Arabidopsis thaliana: one gene and its partners. The main gene of each other region encodes a partner of the protein of the gene in region 2 in a complex. Each region holds a gene or a part of one and is shown on either strand. Other genes may lie near its edges. The genes, in order: NRPE3B, NRPD2A and RPB5D.

Region 1 (9,127 bases), on a different chromosome or scaffold from region 2:
TGAATTAAATTCTTAAGATATACTTGAGAATAAGTAATCCAAATTAAATCTCACATATAAAAATTTAATATATTCTGTAAAAAATAAATGTTTTAAGTTAAATATCTGGAAAAAAAAAAGAATCTCTAAAATAGGGTGCATACTTGAAAAAAAAAAAGCCCAATTATTTTCGATGAATTTGATTGTTAATGAAGGTGACATGTTCATTAAGCACATTGCTACAGAATATGCTTCCGCCTCAACCCTTTGACCAAGTCCATTCTCACTCAAGATATTTCTTGTCTTTTTATAATTATTTTGTTTAACCTCTCCGCAACACCAGTCTATGATGTGGCGTGTATGCCTATGTTTACTATTCCTTTTTCTTTACAAAACTTGTTACGTTCTGAATTGGTGTGTATATCATACAAAACCAGATTGAACAGAAATGGATCAACACATGATGGTATAGGCGTATAGCCAAAGAGAAGCATTCTTCCTTGGGTAACACGTTAATGGAAAAGGAGAAACGAATTTCCATGATTTGTTACTTCTTGAATTCAATCTATCTACCAGAAGACTACCTACCCATGTAGTTACATTCCCAACCGTACTAGACCAGCAACTCCAATCCAGACGTGATCATAACCGAGAAAGCTCACCAACACCACGCAACACCAATTTTTCATGTACAAATGATGTGGGCTTGAGAATACATCAGCACACAACATATTTTAAGACTTTTGATCGAAAGACAATTGTCCACTGTCGGGCTAAATCAAGAGATGGTCGAATGAGTCTACCCAAACCGTACCACGAACCTGTGAAACTACCCAATGGCCAAACTACTCGTTGATTTGAGATGGGCATGAATATTCATCAAAAAATCACCTATTTTATGAGGAATGATCCAAGGAATCCATCCCAGGTTCGAGCTGGTTTAGGAGATGACTAAGGAGGCCTCAAAATGGGTCCAAATAAGCTTGTTCCCATGACCCAATTAATCCAAAGAAGAAGAAGCCACAGAACAAAAAGGGTGATCTCCACTTGCATTTGTGTTCACACTTGGCCACTTCACAAACGGCTTGTCTTATTCACTAACTCGTCCCCTTAAGTTTTTCCATATCCTGATTGAGTGCATCTAAACCCTCCAATCCTAACGGCTAGAACATCAACCTCTCCTTCAATATTTCCATTTGATTTTGCATATTGTATAATCTAGTAACCTTTTTATGATTTTAGACCAACTGATTTATATTTTGAAATGATATAAGTTAAATGTGAAATGATATTTATAAAATATTATAACCAAACAAAACCTCGCAAACGTTTTAGACAACTAAATCTTTCTATGCAGTAACATATTAATACTAATGATTAAATAGAATAAAATGAAAAAGGAAGATATATAACATTTATCCTATGTTTCAATAATTCAACAATCAAATCAAATCAAATGTGATAAACAATATCTATAACTCATCAAAAAGCTTAAGCCCCCATATATCCTCACAATACCTAACAAAAGGAACAACTTTCCCCGATTCAGTTCCCCATGCGTCAGGTTCACATCCATGAGTCGGAGGAGTAAGGAAACAAGGCTCCATCGACGTGGATCGAACACACGGCGGATCAGGAGCTTTGTTATCATTTGGCAGATAAAGTAACCATGGCTTTAATCCTCCAAGACTATAAGCAACATATCCAAATGTTGACCTTGAGCTTGCAACAATGTTATCGGTTAAGCTCAAAAGATACATCTCAGCAAGCGCCTTTTGGTCGTGAACCTTCTTGTCTGTTTGTTGATACCTTTCTCCACTTGGCTGATATACTTTAATAATCTCTCCCGTCATATTTGCTCGCTCTGAAAACATGTTCTCTAGTTTCTTAGAGTACTCAGGAGACAAAGAAGTGACAAGAACAGCTTTACTTTTTGGAATGTTCGATATGTTGACTTTTGATTCTTCTTGTGTAGCCAATTCAGGCAAAAGTTTCTCTCTTTGTGTGCAGGATATGACCTGGTCCATGACGTGTTGGTAGTATCCACCTTGATCGCGAAAAACCCGAATTTGAATCCCGAGTCTCTCATCTGCTTTGGATAAGTGATCATGGTAGTACTTAGTGACGATATCCCAAACTTGATTTTTAGGGTGAAAAAGATACCGACCCAAGTGGTGAAACACGGTTTCTTTCTGCGGAAACAGCTTCGTTAGTTCGGTTTGGAAAGTTGGATTAAACCATAAAGATGGAACAAAGTAAACATTGGCTCTAAATATCAACCAAGGGACTTTGTCAATCAAACTTTGATCCTTTTGGCAGAAGAACATCTTATCACTATCCCTTGAATCATGAAGGTTATGCATATATAGATGTGGCGGGAATGAAGTCGAGTTGATGGAATGATTTTCCAACATTGTTCCGTAACAACGAGAGTATCCCTTGTGGTATCCATCAGCATATTTCATCAATGGAAAGTCGAGAGGAAGCAACCATGAAGTACCTGGAAATGGCTCGCATAAGAGATCACCAATATCCTTGCGGTTGTCAACAAGAATGATTCTATCAGTCAAGAGAGCGTAGAGGAACACAGAAGCAAGAGTGAGTAGTCGGTTTCCAAGCCCGTAATCAGCGAGCCACACAACGTATCGGCATTCACCATCTGATTTGCTTGCATTATAATTCTCATCATGACTAAGATGCTTTGTTGCTTCCTTGTAAGCTTTTGTCCCTGGACCGCAACGTTTGTGAAGCATCTCATAGCTTCTAAGCTTCGAGACAAGATATTCAGACGGCTTGTATGGTGAAGGCTTGCGATACAAGAAAGTTTTATGATACCTACTCAAGCAAGAACCTTCATCGAAATCTGCGGTTAAAAGCCCTCCTATTAGTCTATCCCGCCCCGGTGTTTCGGATTCGTCTGAACATATAACAAAAAAAAAGGTCAAAAGGAGAATTCTTTGAGCTAACAATGAATGACAAAACATGGATGCTTATTTTTTTCTTTCTTACCGTTGATTGTAGCAGCAAAAAGTTTATTGTTGAAGTTGTTTGAGAATGAAAGTAACATAACAGACAAAATTAGTAAGGTACTAAAGACGATGGTTATCAGAATTTTCGTCTTCAATCCCAAACCCTTGATAACTTCGCCGGAGATCTGAAATATATGATACATGTTGACTTTTAGTTTGTGAAGATGATTCAAAAAGAGTTTACAACGCTTATATAACTTGATTACAACTTTTAATGTCAATCACTGATCAATAAGATAAAACTTTGAATATTCTAATGTGTCATTGTTAAGTTGTGACTATCAACGAACTCCAAACGTGACTCTATTTTGTTTAATAGAAGAAAAGTCTTTAAACTCCAAATTGTGATTTTGTATTATATAATATTCAGAATTATCGAAGAAACTTCCTATGGGAGAGCTCTTGTGAATTATTAACAATTTGGAATCCAAACAACTAGGATTTGTCAGGCACGTTGTGAAGACCATGACATTGATGTATTGAAATATGCAATAATTTGTAATTACATAAATATTGAGATCTGTTTGACATGCCCAATCAAAACATACAATCATGTCAATAATTAAGTGATCCCAAATTGTTTAAACGATTTACCTTAGTGATCAAAGTCCTAAACTCGTTTAAAAAACTAATGGTCAAAAGATTCCTAAAAAATTGCAAGTAGGCCACGAAACATAGAGAAAGTGATATGAACTTTAAGTTTCTAACAATACACCAATAAAATTATGGTCCAGATTTTGATCTATATGTAATAGGTTCATGAACTTAGTTTTAAAAGTCACAAACGGTATACGTAGATTATTGTTAACATGAACGACTAACAACGACATAACACGCGCAATTCATATGACTCTAGATGTTACCCTTGATATTCACATGCATGTAAAACTCTCAATATGCTATTTGAAAGTCTCCGGGGGTTGCCACGTCATCACATCGCTCCAAAGGCCCCATTTGTTTTTTCATTTTTTTTTCCTTTATTAAATGTTTTTCTCATCGACCAATCGTCCTCTGACTTTTTTTATTTTGACGAGGGAAATGTATTCAGATTCGAGCGGAACCGCGGTTGGCCCGGTAAACCCGATGACTCAGTCACTAATCCAGTTTGGCTCCAACACTACAATCCGCTAATTTTCAATCAGGTAAATTTTGAAAATCTCTAATAAATTCCGGTAATGGTATAACCCGCGATATGGTACTACTAGTTGAAACCGTCGTGCTTAAAAATGTTGATTAAAATTCAACTTTTTTTTTTTGGCTAAACTGCAAATATCATATATATGAAAAGGATGGTTTTACAAGGAAGTTAAACCCGGAATTGGTTTCTTGGCAAAATAAAAATAAAAAAGGAAAGCAATATTAGAATTTTGGACCAGACATGATCAGTGCACTTAAAGCCCCAAAACCCACTAAAATTCTATTTTTAAAAATAATTTATATTTTCTGTTGGATAAAATATATTATATGTAATCTTTTAGATTTAGGTCAAGATTTAATTGTGTCAATGAAAATAAGCGGAATAATTATGAAAATAAGCGGAATAATGATGAGTACAACTTGTACATTGTCCGAAACCATTCACATAATTACCATTAAAATTAATTATGTAAAAAAATTTTAATTGTAATTAGAAAGAATAATTTTGGAAAAACACTATATAAAGATTAAAACAACAAATTTACCATTATTCTTTATGAACCAATGCATTTTTAATCCTTTTTACTCTTTATATAATGTTTTTAATCCAAGTTACTGTTAAAAATATGGAATTTCGATTCTTTTTAATATTTGTATTTCCAAAATTATTATTATGTAATTCAAATTATAAAGATTAAAAAGTCTTAAAATAACATTGGGTCATTATTTGAATTGATGTAAACAGAAAATCCATTGTAGACATTTTGACCATTCCCAATAACTGTTATGAGAAGCCTGAAAATGCCCAGTAAACAAAAGAATAGGCCCATATAGGCCCAACTTAAACTACTATAGTTCTTCTTATACCTTTTTCCACTCTCACTCACTTTGCTCTCTCCAAATTTCTTCTTCTTCTCCGGCGAAGAAATCGAAAAGTCATTACCCTAAGAGTCCCAGAGTCGTCAGAAGGAACAGCTTTTGAAATGGACGGTGTCACCTACCAAAGATTCCCAACGGTGAAGATCCGTGAGCTTAAAGATGACTACGCCAAGTTCGAGCTTCGTGAAACCGACGTTTCAATGGCCAACGCTCTCCGTCGCGTAATGATCTCCGAAGTCCCCACCATGGCAATCCATCTCGTCAAAATCGAGGTTAATTCCTCTGTTCTCAACGACGAGTTCATTGCTCAACGACTTAGTCTCATCCCTCTCACTAGCGAGCGTGCTATGAGCATGCGGTTCTGTCAAGATTGTGAAGATTGTAATGGAGATGAACATTGCGAGTTCTGCTCTGTTGAGTTTCCCCTTAGTGCTAAGTGTGTTACTGACCAAACCCTAGATGTTACTAGTAGGGATCTCTACAGTGCTGATCCTACTGTTACTCCTGTTGATTTCACTAGTAACTCATCTACTTCTGATTCAAGCGAGCACAAGTAAGTCCCTTTTCATCATTGTAGTGATTATTTGTTCTTTATGAATTGATTGGAATTGCTAAGCTTAGATATTACACAATGCTAAACAAAATTTGACATCTTTAGATGCCCTTTGCATGAGTCTTCCTTTTGGTAGTTCTGTGGCTTTTTTTTCTGCAGTTTCTTAGACTGTTATTGTTTTGGTTTCAGGGGAATTATCATTGCGAAACTACGCAGGGGACAAGAGTTGAAGCTTAAAGCATTAGCTAGGAAAGGAATTGGGAAAGATCATGCGAAATGGTCTCCTGCAGCTACTGTTACGTATATGTATGAGCCTGACATTATTATCAATGAAGAGATGATGAACACTTTGACAGATGAGGAAAAAATTGACTTGATTGAGAGCAGTCCTACCAAAGTGTTTGGCATTGACCCAGTCACCGGACAGGTTAATTTCGATGTTCTGTAAGAATAACATCTATACAAGTTTATAGCTTTGAGACTTCAATATGATTGTACTACTTTATAGGCTACCATGCTTTGAAATATATGTATGTGATGTGGTGTATGAATTTTCTTTAAGTGTTTAGTGCGTTTAGCTCATTTCTTTTGCAGTCTATTGTTTGAATCATCACAACTGTAATTATAATACTTTGCTTCTTAGGTTGTGGTGGTTGATCCTGAAGCATACACTTACGATGAAGAAGTGATCAAGAAAGCTGAAGCAATGGGGAAACCGGGACTCATTGAGATCCATCCGAAACATGATAGTTTTGTATTCACTGTTGAGTCCACAGGTGCATTGAAGGCTTCTCAGCTGGTACTAAATGCCATTGATATCCTGAAGCAGAAGCTTGATGCAATCCGTCTCTCAGATAACACTGTAGAAGCCGATGATCAGTTTGGTGAACTCGGTGCCCATATGCGTGAAGGATGAAATCGTAGCTCTTTTTTTACCTGTTTGATCAGGGTTTAAGTTTCTTCTAGACCAGACTAATATATTAACCGTAGCGGCACTGCCTTGTTTGATAGCAACATGTAAAGTGGCAGTCTTGTCTTTGTTCCCGACCTCTGACTGATCCTTGTGTTCCTGAACCTTGTTATGTTGGGTTATTTTTAGTCGTTGAACTCTCTCGTAATTGGCGTTTTTTTTGTTGTCATTGTTAAGAATGGGTTAGTTAATATAGGAAAAAAGATTTTAATTGATATTAATTAAGGTAAAAACAAAATATTAAACTAATATTGAAAAGTTTAATATTATATTAGTGAGATACTCTAACAAAACCAAGTTAATATTTTTCTATTAATTTATCTAAAAAAATAATATATATCCACATGTTAGATATATATATGTATACTTAAAAAAAAAATGTGAGTGGATGAAAAATATTTGTTTCTTCTTAATGCTGATACCTAGGAGTGTCAAAATGGGTAACCCAACTCAACTCAACTCATAATCAAATGAGTTTAAAGTTAAATGAGTTATAGGTTGACCCAACTCATTTTGTTAAATAGATTGGATCAAACTATAACTCATTTAATTTGATGAGTTGAGTTGTTAAATGGGTTAACACATTTAAGTAATAATTAAATTAATTTATTTACGTGTTAAACACTCAACTGTAATGGCTACTCTATGTCTTCCTCCTACTTAATTTCCAATGCTTCCGGAATCCTTATCTTACATTTCTCGACCACATTTTTGAGTAATAGTAATAGGCTAAGGCGCTCGCCGTAAATTATTTAAGTGCACCTGAGAGTAAATGAGTCAATAGGTCAAGTTGCTCCAGGTATGAAATTCACGAATTAAAAATGCTGTAATATACTCTTTCCCATAACTTCTCATACCAGACCAACATTATTATTATAAAACAATAATAAATAATAATTATTATTAATTCATTATCATCAAACTTATGATATTTACGGATTCCACTTTTTACGGGTTTACGTTTTTGGCGGGAAAATCTTGGATTTACGTTTTTGGAGGGAAAATCACGGGTTTACGTTTTTGGCGGGAAAATTACGGGTTTACGTTTTTGGCGGGAAAATTACGGGTTTACGTTTTTGGCGAGAAAATCTCGGGTTTACGTTTTTGGCAGGAAAATCACAGGTTTACGTTTTTGGTGGAAAAATTACGGGTTTACGTTTTTGGCGGGAAAATTATAGATTTACGTTTTTGGCGGGAAAATCTCGGATTTACTTTTTTTTGGCGGGAAAATTACGGGTTTACGTTTTTGGCGGAAAAATTATGGATTTACGTTTTTGGCGGGAAAATCTTGGGTTTACGTTTTTGGCAGGAAAATCACGGGTTTACGTTTTTGGCGGGAAAATCACAGTTTTACGTTTTTGGCGGGAAAATCACGGGTTTATGTTTTTTGGTGGAAAAATTACGAGTTTACTTTTTTTTCAATTTCATCCCTTGTATATTTAAGAAATTTGGAAAACTATTAATTTTATTAAATTGATTTAGATGTGTTGGTTAGACTTAAATTGACATTGGTTTAGAGATTTTAGTTGGTTTAATTCAATTTTACAAAACTTGATGGGTTAATTGGGTAAACCATTGAAACCATTAACCATTACAACTCAACTCATTTTACTCATCAAACCAATTGACTCATCAACTCATTTGACCCATCAACTCATTTGAGTCAAAAATTTCAACTCATTAGGGTCCATGGATTGAGTTGAGTTGAGTTTGACCCATGAATTTTGACCCATTTTGACACCCCTACTGATACCTAATAACATCTTTATTTGAATTAAGTAACATAAAAATTCATAAACTTTCCAAGATAAGCAACACATGAATAGCATGAACTTCAATATGGAAGACCTTTGCATAGTGGATATCCAATTTTAAATTGCATACCTCTTGAGGGTTTATTAAAGCTCTTTCAAGTTCATGAACGTCAGTCACAAAATAAGTTTATGGTGAGTAATGATATGTTGTTCATTCTTTACTTTTACATATATATAGATAAAGACTGGTCCGATGGACGGGTTTATTTTCTTATAACTAAATTCAAATTTAACAAAAATAATAATTGACAACGTTGTAAGTTTTCAAAAGTAAAAAAAATATATATATATATATATATATATATAAATTTCACTGTTGCATTGTTTCCTTCACCACTTCAATTATTTGAATGAAAAATATATCATATATCAATAACTCAAATTATTTGAATGAAAAATATATTACGTATCAATAACTTTTGGTATAGATATGAATACTAAAATTAAAAATATTCATCATAGAATTGGTGAACGATTCCAAAATGGTTTTAAATTAGACACATTAAAAACATAGAATAATTGGTAAGAATACCCTTTCAACATTACCTATTTTCAATTATACCCTTTCTTATTTGTCATTTTCATTTATGCCTTTTTACTCCTATTTGGAAAATGTTTTAAGTTAACAAAATAAAATATTGATTTTTTCCTGCCTAAAATATTCTGAAACTAAATTTTCCGCCAAAATTTTCCCGCCAAAAAAAGTTTCCACCAAAACATTTTTCTCACAATTTTTTTGACGGGAAATAGATTTACAAGGGATTTT
Region 2 (12,762 bases):
TACTTATGACGACTCCAAGCATCAGAAATATGAACAAGCAGAAAAAACTCATTTAAACCAAATTATTAGGTAGCATGAAACACTAAAGAGGGCATTATCTGGTTCACAAACCTCATAAACTCTTTTCATTTCCGTATATGCCAGGCTGACTTTGATCAATGTAAGTGCCAAAAATTTACGAGCAGGGGAGCTTGCAGAAATTTGCTTTTGAATCCCGCTGCAGTTCTCAGAAAAGAGAGAAAAGTGTTTAGCAATTTAAATGGTTGAGGATGCTGCTGAGAAAAGGTTTAATGATTAAATTCATTAAAAAAACTTATTCATTGTAAATCTTATGAAACAATTTTACTAGTAAAGCGCATACCTGTAGAGTGTCTCATATACTAAAGGAACTGAAATAAGATAGTGTGGTTGATAACGCTTGAGATCATCCTATACCAAAAAGCAAAAAAAAAAAGTTTCAAATCCAAAGGGAAAAATACAAATGAATGCTTGACTCAGTGCAAAGTCTCAACGTCTCCCATTTCCAAGGATAAGATGTTTCTTTTGAAATGTCATTATGTAACATAACATAGAAAGACTTACCTTTAAGAATCTTATAGACGTATACTTTTGCTCAACTCCACATGTAAATATGAAGTATTCACAAGCCCGTTCATAAGCATGCCATGATGGCAACATACTCAGAAATCTTTCCCCAGCTTCCGCAGGCACAAAATCGGACAAGTTTCTTATCTGTAGCAAGTAATTCAAGCCAAACGAACAAAAAAAAATCAGAACATAACAGCAAACTCAGTATTTCATAAATGGAGATATAAAGACACCGTTTTGACAATAAGTATTAGCTTGAACCTGGTGTAACAAATTCTGATGTGTGAGCATAACACCTTTTGGATTTCCTGTGGTTCCACTGGTATACATAATTGTGGCTATATCATCTGGATCGATGTATTCATATTCATACTTCCCTGCAGTCATTCCTTTGTTAGCACTGTCGAAATCACTAAGGGGTTCGTAAAAAAATAGATATGGCGCTTACCAGAATCATTAGATCTTGCAAATTTTGCACGTCTCTCTTGTCCAAACTTTTTAATTTCGTTGTAACTATAGACTGGTGTGTGCCTACCCGCTGTAACCAACGACGATTTTTCCCCCCAGAGAAGAATCACAAATTTTGGAGCTGCCTTGTAAGAAAATGACTCCGCAATGCGATTGAAAAACTCAGGGTTATCCACAACAAGGGCTACACTGCAAGGTAAATCACAAGAAGTTACCAAAACTCAGTACTCTGAATAAATTTGGAAATAAGAACTGGAGACACGCATAAAAGGTAATTCAAAAGACAATCATATTGAAGGGCCAAAGAATTCTGTCTGTGCCATTCAAGAACCTCCAAATTATGAAGAACCATAAGACAAGTGTGAAACCAAACATTGACTAAAATTACGCCTAATCAAGAGTGCAGATCACTATGAAACTAAATGAAATCTCTCTTGGACAAAGCAGGACAGTTACATGTATCTGAAGTGACAGAAGTTCTAAAAATGGTTCATATAAAAAATAAATTTTGATGACACAAGTGGTAAGTAAGTGTTTTTTGGTATACAGCAATAAAATTCTGAATAGAGTAATTTGCTAGCCTCTATCTCGAGTAAGATATTCACTTGAAATAACAAGATCACAAAAAGGTCTAGGTGTACCTTTCCGAATGACAGTATATCTGCAATAACTCTTCCACAGACGATCTGGATCCTCTAACAACATTGACTGCTCCTGTGGCCATTATACCTGGCATAAAGTAGTAAAGAGTACGTAAACATACCAATACCTGCGGAAAACAAAAAAATCGAATAACCAAATGAAATAATTAGAATTTTATTGCAGTAAAGCAGGGAAGTTAAGGCAACTTCCCAAGCGAGAACCATGATGTTATTGCCACCTAAGAGTGAAATTTAACTTTCCATGTCAATTGAAAAATTCTAACTAGACTTTCACTTCTTTGGGCATGAAACTTAGCCAGCCATACACTATGAAATGAAAGACTTTCAAACTGGAGTATGAACTTAAGAAGCCTTAAGGTTGATTATTTTTCCCTTTCAGAAACATCTAGAGAATGGAGAGAGACTATTTAGTCGTTTGGATGGATAAAGCACTACTTTATAAGGAAGAAAAGTGAATAATATCTCGACAGATCATTGGTGGTCTCTGGAATGGAAATGAAAAAATAATTAATGTGTAAGGTAAGCACCAGTAAATTCAGTATTCCAAGTGTAGTGACATCATCCAACAACAGTTAAGGCTCAAGCACTAAGAAGATTATGTAATAGATTGTTATTCTCCTACACTATAGAGTTCGAAAGTGTTCTATATAATCAACTGCATACCTTGATCCGCAACAAGCCATCGACAGGAGTTATCAGCAAAAAGTGCAATCTTCTCGTCTGCTTTCACTCCAACGACTCGTAAACCCTCAACAAAGTCCAAGATTTCTTGTTCCAACTGCAAAATAAGATGATTGAAATGAAAGGTTCCATTACTCATCCAAATTTAGCATCACTGTAAACTTCAAAAGTAATTACCCACCTATCTAGCAACAGGAAGTATTTCAGGCAGATAACTGAAACAACATTGGTTCCTAACATATAGATTAACACAGCAAATACCAAGGGACATGCCTGACAATAATCATAAGGAAATATCAATTTAGTATGCTTCCTAACATTCGAATATGGTTCATCTTCAGCACCCTCTAGCTACCTTCTTATTGACAAGCAGTTAAGATATGTAGATACAAAACTAATCGATAAAGAAAAAAAGCTGATGGCCAATCAATCTTAACTCTTAAACTTCAGTTTTTTCCCTAAGTTCTGTCATTTGCTTTAAAAACCTCTATTTCAAAAGTGTGGGGATCTAAAATAATAGCAATGAGATGCGAAGTAGTGTTACCTGTCTGTACGTGAATGTAGAAGGCGGGTCATGATACGGATCTACCACCGCAACTCTGTCACCGTACTTCTCCACAGATGATCTCCAAATATCAGGAACAGACTTCCATTCATTAGAGCTCAAAGCAGCCTCCCTTGGCAATGATAAGCGTTCTAAGAATGGCGAACACCGCCTTAACTCCTTCTCCTGAATCTATAAGAACGGTACACAATTGATGTTACATATAATTCAGGAAATGAACCATAAGGTAAACTTACAAGAACCCTATAAAAGCCTTTCAGGATCAAGCTGTTTAAACCCTGGTCATCAGAAGCAATTCAGCTTTCATAAGACAAGTATCCTAAACTAATAAGACTCAGAAGTCAGAGCCACTCGTTGTCTATTTTGGTGCAACAGCTAAACTTGAACCTTCCCCAAAGTCAATTCATTTCTTTAGATTACTTACTTCAAAAATCAAAGTGAAAGGAGCAATTTTTTAAGTCCACAAACCAAAAAGGAACTCGCCTTGGATTCGCAGCGAACTCGAAATCCCCTGCGTGAAGTTCTGCAGCCAAAAGCCTTGTAACCAAACACCAATCTCATCCCAGAAACTTGAAATTCAGGAGCTGAGGAGCAGTGAGAAACGAGAATCGAAGCTCCGAGAGACGTTGAAGCCATGGCTGAGGAGATAAGAGGTTATCGTGATGAAGTTGCTTGCATAGAGAGAATATATGAGAGGAGAAAGAGAGAAAGATGAAGAAGCAAAGAAAGGTAGAAAGAAAGAGACGAGAAAGTAGGTCGATGTCATGATTACGATTTTTCACAGGAAAGATCAGTTCCAAGTTGGTTGGCACCGCTACAGAAGCATGGCTTCTTCAGACTCTCAGAGATAATAAAACAAAAAACAGAGCTCAATACTTACACTTATATAATAACTTTTTATTTACTTATATATTATATTTCTATAATTAGATCAGATTTAACCTAATAAATCAAACTACCCATAATTATGATGTCCCAAATTTGGTAACTATTTGATGATTATTTCTAAACTGTAGGAGCAACCCCAACTTTGTATCTTAGCTAATTTTTAGGTATAAAAGTGATTAAATTTAATGAAACCAATAAACTTTAGCTAAGATAAACATCTTTATTAAGCCTCTCCGTCACTCACCAAAAAAAAAAACATCTTTATTTTATTTTTTTTGGTTAAACAAAAACATCTTTATTAAGATATTTTCTTAAAACTAAGAAAAGCATATGTGTTGTGTTTTGAGTGGGTAGACATTGTGTTGAAATAGTTTGTTGTTTCTTAAAATTCTAATCGTTCTTAACCATTGAAGTAGAAATTGGTTAAACTTCTTCCTAACTTTTCTTAACTTAGTAAAAACAACATTTTAATTTAAAATAAGCTTAAGATCCAAAATTAAAAATTAATTGATTTTAAACCATTGGGATTGCTCTGAGCTTTTTTAGTGAATTATGTGTTGTTTTTTTTCTTTGTGTTTTGGTCAAAATTAAGTTATATATGAAATTTATTAAACCAAACAACCAAATCGAATTAGATGTAAAAACCAAAATGTAGATGTTACAAATTTTGGAAAAAAAAAAAGATGTTACAAATTTTATGTCATGTGAACTTCTAAATATATTTCCTTTTCACTTTAAAATAAAAATAAAATAAAACTTAAACATAAAAATATAGATACCAAAGAGCAAAATTTAATAATATTGTCTACTAGTACTAGTGACGTCAATTTCTTCACTTCTCTTTGACTGCTTCGCTTAACCACTGAAAAAGTGTGCCAAGGGTTTTCTACGTCGAATCTCTCCGCATTCTCAGCGATTTTCCGGCGACGTTTACTCTGCACTCCTCCGACACCGCCGTTTTACTCCATCGTGCCAGCTTTAAGCAATCAAGGTACCTATTTTAGGTAATACGCTTTGATTCTGCTTTTAAGCATCGGAGAATATGTTATGGAGAATGATTCGGTTCTAAGGGAAAGTTGTTGATTTCGTGTTTGTATTCGCATGATTGCATTTTCGTGGTTCATGATTTTCACAGCTTTTTAATCAATTTCTCTGTCTTTGTTTAGGGTTTTTGTTCGTACAGTGTGTTTTGAGGTATGCCAGATATGGACATTGATGTGAAGGATCTTGAAGAGTTCGAGGCTACTACTGGGGAGATCAATCTATCTGAGCTAGGAGAAGGTTTTCTGCAGAGTTTCTGCAAAAAAGCTGCAACTTCTTTCTTTGATAAGTATGGACTTATAAGTCATCAGCTCAACTCCTACAACTACTTCATTGAACACGGGCTTCAGAATGTGTTTCAATCCTTTGGTGAGATGCTTGTGGAACCGTCTTTTGATGTTGTAAAGAAGAAGGATAATGATTGGAGATACGCAACGGTGAAGTTCGGAGAAGTCACTGTGGAGAAGCCTACTTTCTTTTCGGATGACAAGGAGCTTGAGTTTCTCCCATGGCATGCTAGGCTTCAGAACATGACATACTCTGCAAGGATCAAAGTCAATGTCCAAGTTGAGGTAACAGAAATTCTTTGTCGAAATTAAGTAACCTTGTCTGGATTTGATGAATGATAAAGAACACATGGTATAAGCTTATTTCTTGATGTTTCTACTAGACTCTTTCTGACACATATATGAAGATGTTGACATACACTGAGGTTCCTGTCATAGATTTCTCAATTTAACTTGCCATCAAATAATTTACTAAGGGTTAAGGAACATATTTGTCTGAAACTGGTTTCACTCTTTTTGGCTTTACAAGTTTTCTGTAATTGGATTTGGTTCCTTATTTGCATTCGCTGGATTTCTTACCTGAGCAAAATATCTAGTAAAAGAGATTTATTACAGTTACATGTTCGTGTGAAGTAGAGGTGTATTTCAAGCTTGGTTGTGTTTAAGATTGATGATTTTGTCTGCTCCCAATCTTTAGATGTTTCTTGTTTAAAATTTGAATTGTGATTACTTTTCCTTGTAGTGGTGGGTATTCAAACGAAATAAGCTTTAGTTTGTTTCATTTTAAAGTTTGGATGCAATAAAAGAAAAACATCTTCAGCTTTTTTTTTTATTTAGTTCTTCCCCACTGCCTCACTGTGCTTTAGTTTGAGTGTTTTATGCTTGTGTGCAATGACTCTTGTACTGTCAAACTTTTGATGATGTTTCTGTTTTGCTGTCCATGTATCTTATTCTTATAAATGTAGTTTATTGTCTAACTGCTTCTTCACTCTATAAATTGACTAGGTGTTCAAGAATACTGTTGTTAAAAGCGACAAATTCAAGACAGGACAAGACAACTATGTCGAGAAGAAGATACTGGATGTCAAAAAGCAGGACATTCTAATTGGTAGCATTCCTGTCATGGTGAAATCTATCCTTTGCAAAACAAGCGAGAAAGGGAAAGAAAACTGCAAAAAGGGGGATTGTGCCTTTGATCAGGGTGGATATTTCGTGATAAAGGGGGCTGAGAAGGTGAGTTTAACTAATACATACATATATGCATATTGCCATTCAATACGTACAATAACTTTATTTTCTATGCCAAAACGGATTTTGTTTGTCAGCAATCCATAAAACGGATTATAGTTACAATTTTCTATCATCAGATAATAGTGTTTATCAGCAAAAAGATGTTACAAATTAGACAATAACCTATTTGGTTCATTTTATTTTCCTAATGGAGATGAAGTAAGAAATTAAGAAACTTAACTTATTTATGACTTTGTATACTTCGTTAGCATCAAAGATATAAACTTTTTCTTTCCTTTCTGGCTTGACCATGAGGCCATGAGTATTCAAATCTTACAGGAAGCGTTCTTTGCAATCTTAGGCTCTGGGACAGATGATTTGACTCTAATATATTCTGGAAAAAATATTTTCAAGTTGTTATACTTCTCCCTAACGTTATTATATTGTTTTGCAGGTGTTTATAGCTCAAGAACAGATGTGCACAAAGAGACTGTGGATTTCTAATTCACCATGGACAGTCTCCTTCAGGTCCGAAAATAAAAGAAATAGATTCATTGTGCGCCTCTCGGAGAATGAGAAAGCAGAAGACTATAAGAGAAGGGAGAAAGTACTGACAGTGTACTTCTTGTCGACTGAGATTCCAGTCTGGCTCCTCTTCTTTGCGCTAGGTGTTTCGTCAGACAAAGAAGCCATGGATCTAATTGCTTTTGATGGTGATGATGCAAGCATTACCAACAGTCTCATAGCTTCTATCCATGTAGCTGATGCAGTTTGTGAAGCTTTTCGCTGTGGGAACAATGCTTTAACATATGTTGAACAGCAGATCAAAAGCACCAAATTCCCTCCTGCTGAAAGTGTGGATGAGTGCCTCCATCTGTATTTGTTTCCAGGCCTCCAAAGTTTGAAGAAGAAAGCTCGATTCCTGGGCTATATGGTGAAGTGCCTTCTGAACTCGTATGCGGGAAAAAGAAAATGCGAAAACAGGGACAGTTTCCGGAATAAGCGAATTGAGCTCGCTGGAGAACTATTGGAGAGGGAGATAAGGGTGCATCTGGCACATGCTAGAAGAAAGATGACCAGGGCCATGCAGAAACACCTCTCAGGCGATGGTGATTTGAAGCCTATTGAGCATTATTTGGATGCTTCTGTTATCACAAATGGGCTTAGTAGAGCCTTCTCTACTGGAGCATGGTCTCATCCTTTCAGGAAGATGGAAAGGGTTTCAGGTGTTGTGGCTAATTTGGGTCGTGCAAATCCATTGCAGACTCTGATTGATCTGAGGAGAACGCGACAGCAAGTCTTATATACCGGCAAGGTTGGAGATGCTAGATATCCGTAAGTGAATTCCACCTCCTCTGGTATATTTAAATATATCTCACGTATTTTAACTTACTGGTCTGGTCTGCATTTACTCCATTTTACATGTCTTCAGACTGTTTTAAAGATATTCGTAATAACTTTAATTCAATGTAGTATATGATGCCGATCACTGTTTCTGCAGTCTCTTGTCTGTGTATAATACTTATTTTGTATAGATGTTACTGCTATTAAAAAACTCTGATACTGTCTTTCTTGTTTCTTTCTCCCTTGGTCAATCTATCTGTTGAACTCTTGAGATTATCCATTTTGGTTCCTTTTCAATGTGAGCGGTTAGACAATTAAATCGTGTTGGGAAACTGAACTATAGCTGCATTGTTTGTAATGTTGGCCACAGGCACCCCTCTCACTGGGGCAGAGTATGCTTTTTGTCAACTCCAGACGGTGAAAATTGTGGTCTTGTGAAGAACATGTCTCTTCTGGGACTTGTGAGCACCCAAAGTTTGGAGTCTGTGGTGGAAAAGCTCTTCGCTTGTGGAATGGAAGAGCTGATGGATGATACATGCACACCATTGTTTGGCAAACATAAAGTTCTTCTCAATGGAGACTGGGTTGGATTATGTGCAGATTCTGAATCCTTTGTCGCGGAGTTAAAAAGCAGGCGGCGCCAAAGTGAATTACCTCGTGAGGTATCTTCTGTTTCAGCAAATCTCTTGCTATATTTTGATATTCTTGTGTTACTTGGTATTTGCTTTGGATTTTTCTGCTTCAGATGTGTCTATGTCGAATATTGTTTATATATATGAAACGTTCTCTGCAGATGGAAATCAAGCGAGATAAAGATGACAATGAGGTAAGAATTTTCACTGATGCTGGTAGACTACTCCGACCTCTCTTGGTTGTGGAAAATCTCCAAAAGTTGAAGCAAGAAAAACCTTCACAGTATCCTTTTGACCATCTTCTTGACCATGGGATTCTCGAGCTGATCGGGATTGAGGAAGAAGAAGACTGTAATACAGCATGGGGAATCAAACAGCTTCTGAAGGAACCAAAGATATACACACATTGCGAATTGGACCTGTCATTCTTGTTGGGTGTGAGCTGTGCAGTTGTCCCATTTGCAAATCACGACCATGGGAGAAGAGTTCTCTACCAGTCCCAGAAGCACTGCCAACAAGCCATTGGATTCTCATCAACGAACCCTAACATCCGCTGCGATACGCTGTCCCAGCAGCTGTTCTATCCTCAGAAGCCACTGTTCAAGACATTGGCGTCGGAGTGTCTTAAAAAAGAAGTGCTGTTCAATGGCCAGAACGCAATTGTTGCTGTGAATGTTCATCTCGGGTACAACCAAGAGGATTCCATTGTGATGAACAAGGCTTCATTGGAACGTGGTATGTTCCGTTCAGAGCAGATTAGAAGCTACAAAGCAGAGGTTGATGCTAAAGACTCAGAGAAGAGGAAGAAGATGGATGAGCTTGTTCAGTTTGGAAAGACACACAGCAAAATCGGCAAAGTAGACAGCCTTGAAGATGACGGGTTTCCTTTCATTGGTGCTAACATGAGTACTGGCGATATTGTCATTGGCAGATGCACCGAGTCTGGGGCTGATCACAGTATAAAGCTCAAGCACACTGAGAGAGGAATTGTGCAAAAAGTGGTATTATCATCTAATGATGAAGGGAAGAATTTTGCTGCGGTTTCTCTGAGACAGGTAAGTTCCAGATCATACTAAATCGAGCTGTTTTTTCAGAGAATGCATTCCTATGTATGAATCGAATGTTCCATTGATTGGCTTTTACATCTTACAGGTTCGTTCTCCATGCCTTGGAGATAAGTTTTCCAGTATGCATGGCCAGAAGGGTGTTTTAGGCTACCTAGAGGAACAGCAGAATTTTCCTTTCACGATCCAAGGCATAGTTCCTGATATTGTGATAAACCCGCACGCTTTCCCTTCTAGGCAAACACCAGGTCAACTCTTGGAGGCTGCTCTCTCCAAAGGAATCGCTTGTCCTATACAAAAGGAGGGTAGCTCTGCTGCATACACCAAATTGACACGTCATGCCACTCCTTTCTCCACTCCGGGTGTCACTGAAATCACCGAGCAGCTTCACAGGTACATTCTTCACATTGTCTCTTGGTTTTAGCTCGTAAAACAGAATATAAAATTATATGCTATAACAGATTTACATTTGCTTCCTATACAAATAGATGATATCATTAAGGGCAGGAACATATTATTGATAATATTTCCTCGTTGAAGATGTTTAAACTTGGAGACTTTGGCTACAGAATTTCCAAAAGTTGATTGAGCTAATATACTGCACAAGGCACTAAGCTAGATTTGAGCACCTTACTTGAAACATGTCATAGTGGATCTTTATTTTGTTTTCTAGGAGTACTAGAAGTGAGCATGAGTTATCTGTCTCTGTAAGACTAAAAAACTAAGAAGTTCAATGTTCTATGGTTGATTAATTTCTTGTATTGTGCCTGAAAAACGTCTAGAGAATACAGAAAAATAGGCTCAAGAGTCATGTACCAGTATATAATTAGTTAGAGGATTGATGCTGTGAGCCTTGTGATCTATGTATAATTCATTTAACCTTTCTTAGATTATTGTTGATTCTTGAGTCCTGATTCATTACCAATGGTAAATATTTGTGATTAGGGCCGGCTTTTCAAGATGGGGAAACGAAAGGGTCTACAACGGTAGATCAGGTGAGATGATGCGTTCTATGATATTCATGGGCCCAACTTTCTACCAGCGACTTGTCCACATGTCAGAGGACAAAGTCAAGTTCAGGAACACTGGACCAGTCCACCCGCTCACACGCCAGCCAGTTGCAGACAGGAAGAGATTTGGCGGGATAAAATTTGGAGAAATGGAGCGAGACTGCCTAATAGCTCACGGTGCATCAGCTAATCTGCATGAGCGTCTCTTCACTCTAAGTGACTCTTCTCAGATGCACATCTGCAGAAAATGTAAGACCTATGCGAATGTGATCGAGAGGACTCCAAGCAGTGGAAGAAAGATTAGAGGGCCATATTGTAGAGTCTGCGTATCCTCAGACCATGTGGTTAGGGTCTATGTTCCGTATGGAGCTAAGCTTCTGTGTCAGGAGCTGTTCAGCATGGGCATCACTCTCAACTTCGACACCAAGCTATGCTGATTCCCCCTCTTTATTATGTAAATGGCTTATTGCCTTAAGACCATGTTATGTGTAGTTTGCTTCAGTCCCGGTTCTGGTTAGTAGTATAGGTTTTGGTTTGGTTGATTCGGTAAGGGTTATCCGAACCGAAGAAATCGTAAAACCGAGCCACTGATGACTGAACTAACCCGTAAGTGTTGCTTTTGTGAGATTTGACTCTTTAACCGTTAATAATTCTCGGATCTAAAGTAAAGTTTTAGGAAAACTTTCATTGTCTTCTTCTTCTTCCGGAGGCATAAACCCCTTGCTCGGAGTCGTTTCTCTCATTCTTCGATTTCGCTTTCATATAGAAGGTCATGACTCCATTTTATGATTTTATTGGTTCTGTTTTTTTCTTCATAATGCGATAACTCATAACTCCGTTCAATCGCTTTGTTCAAATAAGAACACTATAGCACTACTATATGTTCTTCATATTCGTGTTCTTTAGGAACATGTGAATCAAAAACTTCATATTTCTCGTATAGTAATGATCGCAAAACATGTTCTTGAATTAGTTATAAAATTCTCATAATTTCCTTCAGAACATTAATAAACTACTAGATATATGAGAAATGAGAAGGGATGAGGAACAAATTTCTATAGATTATTATAGATCTTGCACAACAATGGGACACAAAGAGTAAAAACTTGGAATAAAAAGGAAACTAATCATAATTATCAAGAGATATAATCAACTTAATGCGAATGATTCTTTTGATCCTTTCCTCCACACGCCTGAGTCACGAGGCAGCCTCACAATGTAACGCTAGGAAACTTGCAACGCTCATTTCCTGTAACAAGATAGTAACCATTACAAATTACAATCATAAGAATATTCCAGAATTTCACCAAAAAGTTGAAATTAAAGAGTATTTACACGTCTGTGTAGAGTTTTCTTGTGAGACAAGTTAAGAGAAACTTACCAGGGTTGGTCGTGGTCTCACGAGCCAAACCATTGAAGTAGCATTGAGAGCTTTGGTTCCGGAACTGAGCCCAGTACGAGCTAAACGCATAGCTTGCATGCCAAGTAACCGTCACCGGTGCATAGCATTCTCCTCCTGGAGCCAACGCTGCACATGTTGCATTGCTTCTTCCGCAAGCAAAGTTAAGCGCCTGCCCTAGCTCTGCCTCATCGGCCCCATCAACCGCCACACACCATACATTACCTTTAAACGGAACATTGTTACTCGGTTTAGGCAACGAATCAAAACCAGAAAACGATCTTCTACCGCTGAAATCGATGTCGTAGATCGGTGTACCGTCAGGGTTCAAAATTCCCCAATGTCTCTCTGTTCCCGAACCGGGTTTCTGGTTTTCATTGAACAAAGAGAACAAAAACGTCGGTATAGGTGCACCGCGCCTAGCTGGTGTACCGAGTGGCGGGTTAGCAGTCATCTTCTTGATCAAATTCCGGTTATACGTCGCGGCATTGACAATATTAGCTCCGGTTTCATGGATATCACCGTCATTAGGCCACCCGGTTTCAGAGATTGCGAGACTGATATTCGGATAACCGAGCTTGGTCATCGCAAAGATAACCGAATCGAGCATCTGGTCTAGAAGATTGGTGTAAACCAAACCGGTTTGAGGATCGGTATAAGTAGAATTCGATTCAAACAGAGCAAAATCCAAATGGTTATTAACCGGATCAGTAGACCAAGGGAAGTAAGGGTAAACATCAAGGAAGAAGAAAGAGTTTGTTCCATTGAGAAACTTCAACAACGGTAACATCACCGGAACAGCGATATCTTCCCGGAATGTACCACTCGAAGGAGGAAAACTCGAACGAAGAGCGTCCATGGCAAGAGGTGTCCCAACTTTGATGTTGTGAATTCCACGAGCTC
Region 3 (9,776 bases), on a different chromosome or scaffold from region 2:
ATTTGGGGTAAAATAAAAATTCACACACCCAGAAAAAATGGTGTATCGCTTCTCACTGTTTTGGATCAAACGACGAAGAAAGCAATAGAATTGGAGTGATTCAAACAGGACGAAATCAGTTGCAAATTTGAATTTTTGGGTAATGCGATCGCGTTTTTGTTGGAACCCTAAATTTTCCAGATTTGGGAAAGAGAGATAATTAGAGCGATGTTATTGGCGGATTTTGAATATAACAGTTAATTCAAAAAAGGCCAATTTCTCATAAAGTTTTTTTTGTTGGTTTAAAATTCTCATAATATTCTTTGTGACTAACAATTAACAACAAATCTCAAAATTTTAATGCTCTCATATCATTTGTTAAATGGTTTGGAAGCATTAAAAGTGTTAACCTGTGAAATGATAGTAATGACAAAATGATTTCGTGATTGAAATAAATTGTTAATAAATTGTTTTGTTTATTGACGTCACACTCCAATATTTTTATGTATAAAATGTGAAGCAAAAAATTTCAAAACCACTAATTATTTCAGCAAATACATAATTTGGTCCAACACTAAACCAACCCTTCTGTCTCTATCTCATTTGTTCTTAAACTTTCATCTATTTTCGTATCTGAATAATTCTTTTCATCAAAGATTTTAGTTTTGAACCACATGGGATCAAGTTTGTGCTGTTCTCGCGATCCAGATAGCACCAGACGTAGTACGATGGGGAGCACTAGCGACCGGAGGTGGCAAACCGGCGACGACAAGTATCTATCGGACACAAGCACCTTTTCCGTGAAGGAGCAAGAGCATCAGCTTAAGGCGGCCAGACGGGAGGAGCAAAGACTTGGCCATGAAGCTGAGAAAGTCAACTCATGGGTCAAACATGAATCAGCCAGATTCGACCATCGTCCATAGTTGACCATTGTTTTGTTTTGACCAAGCTTTCTATGTTTTTGTAAACTATTAAACAGAGTTGTGTATTTATGTTAACCACACATTAATTAACTATCAAAATTGTTTGGTTTAGAGACCACAAGAAACACATTACAGGTTTTTACATCAAAACATGTTACAGATAAATTGCTACACAAAGAAAGAGCTGAAAATATAAACAAAACGAGTTTAAGAAACGCATCGGTATGTAACATGCGACTCACTGAGCTCGTCTTTGTATGTGACCTTCATGACTTGCCCTGTCTCTAGTCCATAGTATCGCACAATCGGGTCTTTGCTCGATAACCGAGGAAGCTAACCAAAAAAAACATTCTAATTCAGAGAAAAGCTGGCTCAGAGTCAGAGCTACTAGTACTAGTAATGATCCAAATACCAAAAAACTTGCTTACTTGTTTCTCCTCAATACTGAACTTCTTGAGAAGTGATTCCTTCTCTTTATCGTTCAGAACCTGATGTTTTGGCCTCAAGACATGTTTGCTTACGTTAACCAACAAATCGGTAATCTAACAACACAACAAGCGCAACCAAGATGTTATGAGCCAAATGTGGGAACACATAACCTAACACGGTACTCAAGATAAAGATATATTACCTCGAATAACTCGACCTTAAAGGAGAAAAGTTCAACGGCTTTAAGAGCTTGGTTCGTTATATGACTTTGCAAAACCAGTATCAGTCCGGTTATATTTTCTCGGCTAAGCACATCTGCTGCAATGACGCGCATCGCATTGACTTTAACTATACCAGTTCCACAAAACACTACCGAGATCTGAAATTCAAATCAGAGAAATTGCTATGTACTTGTGACTTCAGTGACAACAGCAAACGACGATAATAAATTTCAAGGAAACAACCTCGCTGAGGAGTTCTTTTGCAGTTCGGCCTAAGCCAAGTACTATATTATTAACTCTGAATAGGAGAAGCCAAGAACAGAGAATAATGTGAAAATTGTTTATTAGAACTCTTAACCTTACAAGTATTACTATGGTAATTACACATTAACTAACTGATTAGTGCTAACAAACCCAATTACCTAACCATTCTTATCTAACCAAATTTAAACCAGTCGAACCATTTAGATTTTTGCCAGAAGAAACAACGTCTCTGTTTCAAAAACAGAGGAATCAGATAAAACCAAACCTAACTAGGAACCAAGCTGGAAATCAGAGGAAGTCTTTAAAAGTAGAATGCTTTCTTCAGACAAATTGCATATTACATACAACTAAATCAAGTCAATGGAAAACACTAAGTAGATTTCAAAAGCTAGGCAGAAAAATCAACATGCAGAGAAAGAAAACCATCAGAAATCGAAATCACATTCGTATTCGTATCGAATTCCAATTACCTTTTTCGAAGAATCAAAGCGATGTTTGGCTGAGATACGAAGTAGATCTACGTCAGGATGTTCCCCATAGAGCGCTCGAAATTGCTGGAGGGAGAGGTTAATATCTTCGTCGGAGACATCGTATCCTCTGTCTCGGAGCATCTCCATGGTGGTTCGACGTGCCAGGTAATATTTGTGACACTCTACACTTGATTTACTAATGGAATGTCCAACCACTATCTCTTTCCCTTTCCCCTCCATCGTCTCTCTCTCTCTCTCGGTCTCGGGGAAGGAAGCAAAGCTTGAGTAATGTGAGGGGTTTGAAGATGATAAGACCCGTTGTCGTTTTCAATAATCAGTTTACCCGTGACGTTTTTACCGTGACAGCGGATGAAGTTTACAAACAGACTTGGATGGTAGCCAATGATCAAGCAGGTGATGTAGTCAAAGGCGATTGTTCTGTAACTTTAGTGACACTGGTTTTTGGAAAAATGGTAAGCCATACTAAAATAGCTAGAAGAGATAAGATAGTAGATGACGTTAAGAGACAATTACTGTGGAATGCCTAGTAACATTTTCGTTACCGCTACTGCCGTAACAGGTCATCTGTAAAATGTAACAAAAACAAATTTGTACAAGACCAAAAGGCCAAAACAGCAAACTCTAATTTTTCAGTTTGCATATCCATATTAAAAAAAGGTTTAGCTATTATTTTCAAAGAAATAAAATAGTTCTAGGTTTACATAAATATTTTCATCCTGTTTGTATTTGTTTGGAAAAAAAAATCATTTTATAACATGTAAATTACAAAGATCAACGTGAAGAAACAATTGAGGCTTGACATTCTAGGTTTGAGCTTTAGGCCACTTCTTATAATATACAGCATGAAAACAAACAAATCATTCAAAGAACACAACCAACCAAACATATCTTAAGTCAAAAGTTATATCTTTAGATTCTTTTTCTTCTCTTCACATTTTCACAACAACATCACTCAAACGAATCCAATTACTAAAGACAACACTTGTTACAACGTACCAATCCATTCTCATTGCATCCATTGCATCTCTTAAACCCATCTTCTTGTTCCTCAAACACTTTAGTACTACCGCCACAATTAGTACACGGCACAAACCTTGCATCTCCGCAGCTATCGCAGGCTCCAATGGATTCGCAAGCAGGAAAATCTTTTAACATCTCTGCCAGTTCACCTCCATCGTTGAGTATCTTGATCTCCTCAATTCCACCAATGCGGACGCCTCTTATAAACACCTGAGGCAAACAAACCGGTTTCTCTTCGCCGAGTGCATTCTGAAGCTCTTTCCTGTATTTGGAGTCCATTGAGATGTCACGCTCCTCTACCGCAACCTGAAACCCTCTCAATATCGCTCTAACGCAACAACAATCTTCATACGTCTTTCGAATTCCTCTGAGGCTAGTGAAGTATACTACTATCTTGTTCTCGTTATCTTCTTTTTCAAGCAATCTTGGTTTCTCTTGGTCTTTTTCCGAAGTCTGAGAACTCAATGGACTAGAAGATACATATTCTGGTAAACTGACTAAAACCGAATGATTTGAGTGGCCATTGCTACTGTTCTTGCCTAGCTGTTTGGAGGACAGTGCTCTTTTGTAAGATGAGATAATGTTAGGATCTAAATCAGAGAGAAATGATTCTTCAGACATATGTTTCCACAGAGGTTGCTTAGGTTTAAAAGGCAATAATCTCCAATCTTCCTCATCTTCGTAAGATCCATACGCAGACCCATTAATAACCACGTCTCGATTCGTGATGGGTTTAGAAAAGGAATCCAAATTTACGACGGAATTACTCTTACTTGTATCGGAATTCGCGGAATCGAATTCGTCGTCGAGGTCGTTCATGAGCTCCCATGTGTTGATCACTGAGTCAGGAGAGAACGAGTCGCGAGCCTCCTCTGTTTCAGGCATCTTCTTGTTACTCTTCCCGGAAACGGAGATGTGAGGCAATGTTTGTCTGTCGTCGAGAACAAGAGAACCGTAAGTGGTCGATGTAAGAGAGACAAAGTGGTGTGTGTCGCCTTTTTTAGCAGGTGGATGATGAATCGACGGCATCGGAAATGTGAAAGCTTTAGGTACCGATGAAGAAGGGATGTTGAATTCCGTCTCCGGAGGTGAATTCAAAATCGATGTTATAGAAGAAGCAGAAGCAGAGGAAGCGGTTTTAGAAACAGAGGAACCCATAATTTCGAAGCAGAACAGAGAAGAAGAACAAATGTAGTTTCTACACTCTTTTTCTGGGTATCTTGTACTTTTTCTTTTGTCGGAGAATATAAAAGAAGAAAGAGAAAAAAGAAAGACAGAGAGAGAAGAAACAGGTGGAAAGGAGCTGTCTAAGTAAGTTAGAGGTGGAAGATGGTGAAAACACTAAAGAAGACGATTGTGATGTTGATTCGTCCATATCGAATTTGCTTTGATTTGATAACTAAGGTAAGTATCCATTTGATCCTTATTTTTAGAGCTTAATTTCAGAAAAGTAATTATAACTGAAATCAAAGAAAGTAAACTGTCAAGATCCTCAAAAATTGCATAACTTCCAAACGTGAACTAGCCAATGACTCCCACTAATATAATTTTTCTAGGGTAATAAAAACAGAGCAAATTAATATCCAACCTTATAGAAACTTAATTGTTATAGAAGACTAAAATAAAATATCATACCACACATTCAAATCCCGACGACACATACAAAGTAAAAGTTGGATATAAGTTTACTGTTAGAGAAATTGTGCTGTGCACTGATACTTTCTGTTATATGAGAATAAACATGAAGCTGAATCGCACAAGGAACACTCATTGAAGATTCCTTTGGTACTTTGCCTTTTAATAACTGGAATAAATAAAGAAAATATCATCATCATCATAAACAAAAGCAAGATGGGCAAAAGAAGTTATTTTAGTTTCTTTTATGTATAAAAAGAAGGAAATCTTGGTAACTTATCCGTAAAGAAAGAAGCCAACGCGCTAAATTTGTTTAGAATATTTCAATATGTATGTACTTTTTTGCTTTTACCAACAGAAAAAGGAAGTGAAATCTTTACTTACTATTTGCTTATAATTTCTTCATGTCAAATTTGAAACAAGTTTCTGACATAACTCGTCCTACAATTAGTCTTGTAACATTTTTAAGCTATTTGAATGATTCTCAACTAAAATCAGCTGAATCTCTAGACTCTAGGAATGTAACTCATCAAATGGACGAATATAGTCCAAATTCACATATCATTCATCACAGTTTGAAAGTAATTCACTTTTGGAAATAAGAACCAGAAGACAAGCATCAATTGACACACATATTATAATTCTCTCAAATCAGCAGAAACACACACAAATAATTAACACGTATAATATATCTATGAGCAAACAAATCACCTATACCTATATATTTATCTCCTCTATAAACCCAAACTCTTCAATCTTTTGGGACGATTCACACCGGAAAAAAAAAAGCTGAAAATCGAGTAGGAGCTAGGAAAGAGGTGAAGAATGTAAATGTGATCATGCGAGATGTAAAGGAGGACCAACTTCTCGGTTTCTGAGTGAACCAGCAATCTCGTCGGCGATGGACAAACATGTTAAAATCCAGCCGCTCAGAGCAAACCAAACCGTTTTCGTCAAAAGCATCGCCATTTCCAAAGGCATCGCCATAATCTCTCACTCTCTCAGTTTTGTGAGCTCAATTCATTTGGCTGAAGAGAAGAAAAATCACTGGAAAAATTGGGAGATCCAATGGTGGAATTTTTACGGTAAAGGAGATGAAATATGAAAGAATAATCAGGCACGTGGGACACGAGAGGATCTTTCCAGCAATAAGACATCGCCACGTGTGGGTTCTGTTCACCAGCCGTGTCTCTTTCTGGCCAGTTAGGACAGCGTTAGGGGACACGTCACTGTTCGACCAATAAAAAGAGAAGATCGCAACCCAAACTTTATCAACCCGACCCAGTGGTTGATTACTTGGTACTATATGTTATGCAAATTTTGATAGTGTGTTTATTTTGTTTTTAAATACCAAAATAAATGTCATTTACGAGCTAGCTGACATTTCCCCAACGAACTAATAATTATTCCCTTATAATTGGACATATTTTGTTTCCTTTCATATTTATAATTAAACTTTTGTATTTTTCCTATCGTTAGTTGATAGTACTTCACAAAACAACAGAAATATTGCATAAAAAGGAGGCATAATGAATATTACTCATGTGATTGGAAATAAATAATTATGTAAAATAATTTGATGCAACAAACATCACAGAAGCTTCCTTTTGTCACATTTTTTTTTCTTTTTAGATAGTTCTTGGAATGTTATCTCTAATCAAAATTAGGGCTAATGATTTTGCTTTCTTTATAGTTAAACGTTAATATTATTGTCCAGTTTTGAAATACTGAAAAAAACGAGAGAGTACACAAAAAAATAAGAAAGAGAAAATAAAAAAGTGATGGTCCAATCGGAGCGGCTTATTGGGTCATAGTGGGCTCGGAAGGCAATGGCCCGTAATCCTTCCACCGTCAAGAGCGGGAGGTGGACGCTGCTCTGTGAAACCAGCCTCACGCGGTCTCCCCCACTCTAGAAGACATGAGACCCGAGCCTTCGCTCGAAGCCCATGCCTCAACTCCCAACTTGGAATGGGCGGGCCAGAATATAGCCCAACCCGAACCCGGCCCAATGAGATCGACCCAACGTCCCATCCCCTTATTGTCTCCACTTGGATCACAAGCCCGCGTTACTGAGTTCGACGTACAATACTCGCTACCTTCCCTATTATATACAACAACAAAACGTTTTGTTTTTCCGATGTGGGACAAATAGCTCTCTTAATACAGTTTTCGTTTCCAAAGGGAACAAATCATAAAAATTTCATCTTCAATCTCAGGAATTATATCTTTGAAGCTTGTTCGTATCAAAAGGCCAAAACTTTCGACCACTTCCAATTTTTGATAAGATTGGATTTAGATCTTTGATGCTGTTACACCCACAAGATGAGAGAATTTTACAATTCGTTTAATGGTTCTTAAGCTAGTAAATGTAGCTGTTAGTTTTGATAAGATTCATTACTAATTCTCGAAAGCTTCAATCTTTGCAATAGTTTTGGATTCTTAAGCTAGTAGCAAGAAACTTCCCAAAAATCTTGTGGGTTTAACAGCATGAAAAATAAAAGAAAAAAACGAAGAAAGCTAATCTAGGGGAGAGAAGTAAATTGACAGAGAATAAAACAACTACTGTGTCCGAGACCATCCTGGTTTTGAGCCATTGTTAGTGTGCTATCACCTGAGTGAAAAGAGAGAACAACCAAGAAACAAGTAAGATAAGAGATGACAAAAGCTATAGTATGAAACCACATTTCTAGTGTTGCTACTTACCACTATCTGAATGGTTTGAAGCTTCTGATTGAATAGGTATTCGATTTAGTGGATCTCCTTGTGTCTGCATTGTCTCTTTTTCCTGATGATAACGATGTTGCTGCGGTATTACTCCTAGCAGTCCGTTGTTGTTTGCTTCATATTCAAGAGTTAGCAGATCTTCTACTGAGAGATTCTGTTGGCATTCTCCATATAGGTCTTGTAGTGGCTTCTCGGGTTGCGTTAGTCCTCCTTGCAGTCCGTTGTTGTTTGCTTCAGATGCAAGAGTTAGCAGATCTTCTACTGAGAGATTCTGTTGGCATTCTCCATATAGGTCTTGTAGTGGCTTCTCGGGTTGCGTTAGTCCTCCTTCAGACCGAGGTTGTGATATCATTGTATTTAGGACGTGATCGATCAGTAGAAACCACTTCTTCCATTGCTTTTCTCTTATTACTACTCAACATTGGTTCAAGTTGTTCGGATTCAATTTCTTGGTGGAGAGGCAAGATTTCAATCACTGATGACTCTTCTTCTTCTTCTTCTATCTCCGGTTTAGACACCACAATCTCTTCTATGGCAACTGGTTTCTCACTTTCTTTCTTCAACTTCGTTTTCATCATATGAGGTTTCAACTTGGTAAGATCAGCTAACTTCACTGGTTTCAAGAAAAACTCTTCAGCTCCTTCTTCCAAACATCTGTTGGAAGAAACCACCACAATTTTGTAGATAGTTCAAAGACTTATTCAAACCAAAGAATCGAATAATAGTATCCACTTGCCAATTCTCAAATCAATAATACTCAAATTAACTTTAAAGAAACAGAGCTCTTACCTGGAGATTCTTGCAGGAACGTTCTCAGATGACATTATAACTACAGGTATACTTCTAAACGCCGCTGATTCCTATACACAACAATCATGTAGATTACTCAGAAGCAAATCAATTGTTCTTTTTTATCAAACAATGGCATAAAGGAAAGTTTTTGAGTGGGAAAATATTCCAAAATGAGATTTTCAATTTCTCCATTGACATTCTCATTTGGAAAAGAAAACTAAAGTAAAAAACTTTATTTCTTTTTCTGGAAACGAATTTAGCCAGAGATGGAAAAGACAGTAACCAAATTGAGAAGAAATACCTTAACTTTCTTGAGCAAATCATAACCAGTCATGCCAGGCATACAGTAATCTGTAATTATTAGATTTATTTCAACTTCCTGCTCAAAAGCCACAAATTACAAACAAATCTCAATATAACCATTCATTGCAAATTTCGAAAGTAACCAACTTTGAATCATGTAAAAGATCAAAAACTGAACCTGATGAATTTGTGGCGATGTAGAGAGTGCATTTGGGTCGTTGTCATCTACTCTTAAACCCAGAAATTCCAGAGCTTTAGAGCCTGAATCAACTGTAGTTACTGCAAAACATAAGAACAAGAACCAAATAAAGAAACCTTTTTTTCAGTATATCTTCCTTCTCTTTCTCCAATACATATAGCTTAAAGATTATGGCTTTTTCGAATCTACCTTGACATGAAGACTTTTGAAGCAATCTCTCAATCATTTTCCGATCAAAAAGACTATCATCAACAGCTAAAACATGGAACTTTGACTCTGTTTCCATTACCATTGTAGATATTCAATCGAAAAAAACTAAGATCTGAATCTAAAATAGACAAACCCAGATGCAAAGTTTTCAACTTTGTGTTTTGTTTTGATATCCTTCTTTAGAAAGAGATTAAAAAAAAAACGGTTTTTTTTTCTCTACCGGAAATGTTGAGAGTTCTGAATGAGCTTGTAGGAGAGAAGAGGAGAAATAAAAGGGGGTTTGTATTTTTCAACCCAAATCTCGGATAGTGAGAGAGAGACGAATAAAAAGGAAATAAGACTAATTGGATCTAGCTTTGGTTTACGGAGTAAGCAAGTTTTTTAAATGATGAAAGTAATTTCCAAGGAGACAACGAGAGAAAGAAATTTAAAAAAAAAAAAGACTTTGATAATGGATAAAATAAATAATGGAAAGAAATCTATATGAAGATTTTAAAGGATTTGTTTAGCCCACCAAAGACTTTTTTTTTTTTTAAGATAAGAGGATGAGGGATTTAATAATGTGTATACTACCACAACCACATGC

What was found.
Region 1: NRPD2A (region 2) and NRPE3B share a complex: the UniProt entries of both Arabidopsis thaliana proteins name them as parts of the RNA polymerase IV and V complex.
Region 3: NRPD2A (region 2) and RPB5D share a complex: the UniProt entries of both Arabidopsis thaliana proteins name them as parts of the RNA polymerase IV and V complex.

Annotation. Positions count from the first base shown.
Region 1 is NC_003071.7:6,707,894-6,717,020, forward strand, and holds NRPE3B (DNA-directed RNA polymerase family protein), read left to right. Parts: upstream 1-5,001; 5' UTR 5,002-5,128; coding exon 5,129-5,577; intron 5,578-5,766; coding exon 5,767-6,004; coding exon of another isoform or gene 6,005-6,025; exon of another isoform or gene 6,026-6,220; coding exon 6,221-6,493; 3' UTR 6,494-6,716; downstream 6,717-9,127. Other genes in the region: FUT4 (fucosyltransferase 4), read right to left, coding at 1,452-2,896, 2,989-3,151. UniProt on the Arabidopsis thaliana protein: DNA-dependent RNA polymerase catalyzes the transcription of DNA into RNA using the four ribonucleoside triphosphates as substrates.
Region 2 is NC_003074.8:8,566,106-8,578,867, reverse strand, and holds NRPD2A (nuclear RNA polymerase D2A), read left to right. Parts: upstream 1-4,658; 5' UTR 4,659-4,856; intron 4,857-5,018; 5' UTR 5,019-5,048; coding exon 5,049-5,465; intron 5,466-6,185; coding exon 6,186-6,413; intron 6,414-6,864; coding exon 6,865-7,745; intron 7,746-8,124; coding exon 8,125-8,416; intron 8,417-8,547; coding exon 8,548-9,441; intron 9,442-9,538; coding exon 9,539-9,843; intron 9,844-10,395; coding exon 10,396-10,897; 3' UTR 10,898-11,296; downstream 11,297-12,762. Other genes in the region: AAE16 (AMP-dependent synthetase and ligase family protein), read right to left, coding at 112-217, 362-429, 583-732, 850-965, 1,037-1,245, 1,698-1,785, 2,382-2,496, 2,944-3,135 and 1 more; AT3G23770 (O-Glycosyl hydrolases family 17 protein), read right to left, coding at 11,672-11,709, 11,842-12,762. UniProt on the Arabidopsis thaliana protein: DNA-dependent RNA polymerase catalyzes the transcription of DNA into RNA using the four ribonucleoside triphosphates as substrates.
Region 3 is NC_003071.7:17,221,776-17,231,551, reverse strand, and holds RPB5D (RNA polymerase II fifth largest subunit, D), read right to left. Parts: upstream 2,793-9,776; 5' UTR 2,527-2,792; coding exon 2,287-2,526; intron 1,711-2,286; coding exon 1,534-1,710; intron 1,445-1,533; coding exon 1,331-1,444; coding exon of another isoform or gene 1,259-1,330; exon of another isoform or gene 1,254-1,258; coding exon of another isoform or gene 1,236-1,253; coding exon 1,110-1,235; 3' UTR 903-1,109; coding exon of another isoform or gene 654-902; 3' UTR 501-653; downstream 1-500. Other genes in the region: AT2G41342 (uncharacterized protein), read left to right, coding at 654-902; AT2G41330 (Glutaredoxin family protein), read right to left, coding at 3,277-4,485; RR3 (response regulator 3), read right to left, coding at 8,016-8,340, 8,476-8,546, 8,780-8,857, 8,960-9,060, 9,170-9,272. UniProt on the Arabidopsis thaliana protein: DNA-dependent RNA polymerase catalyzes the transcription of DNA into RNA using the four ribonucleoside triphosphates as substrates.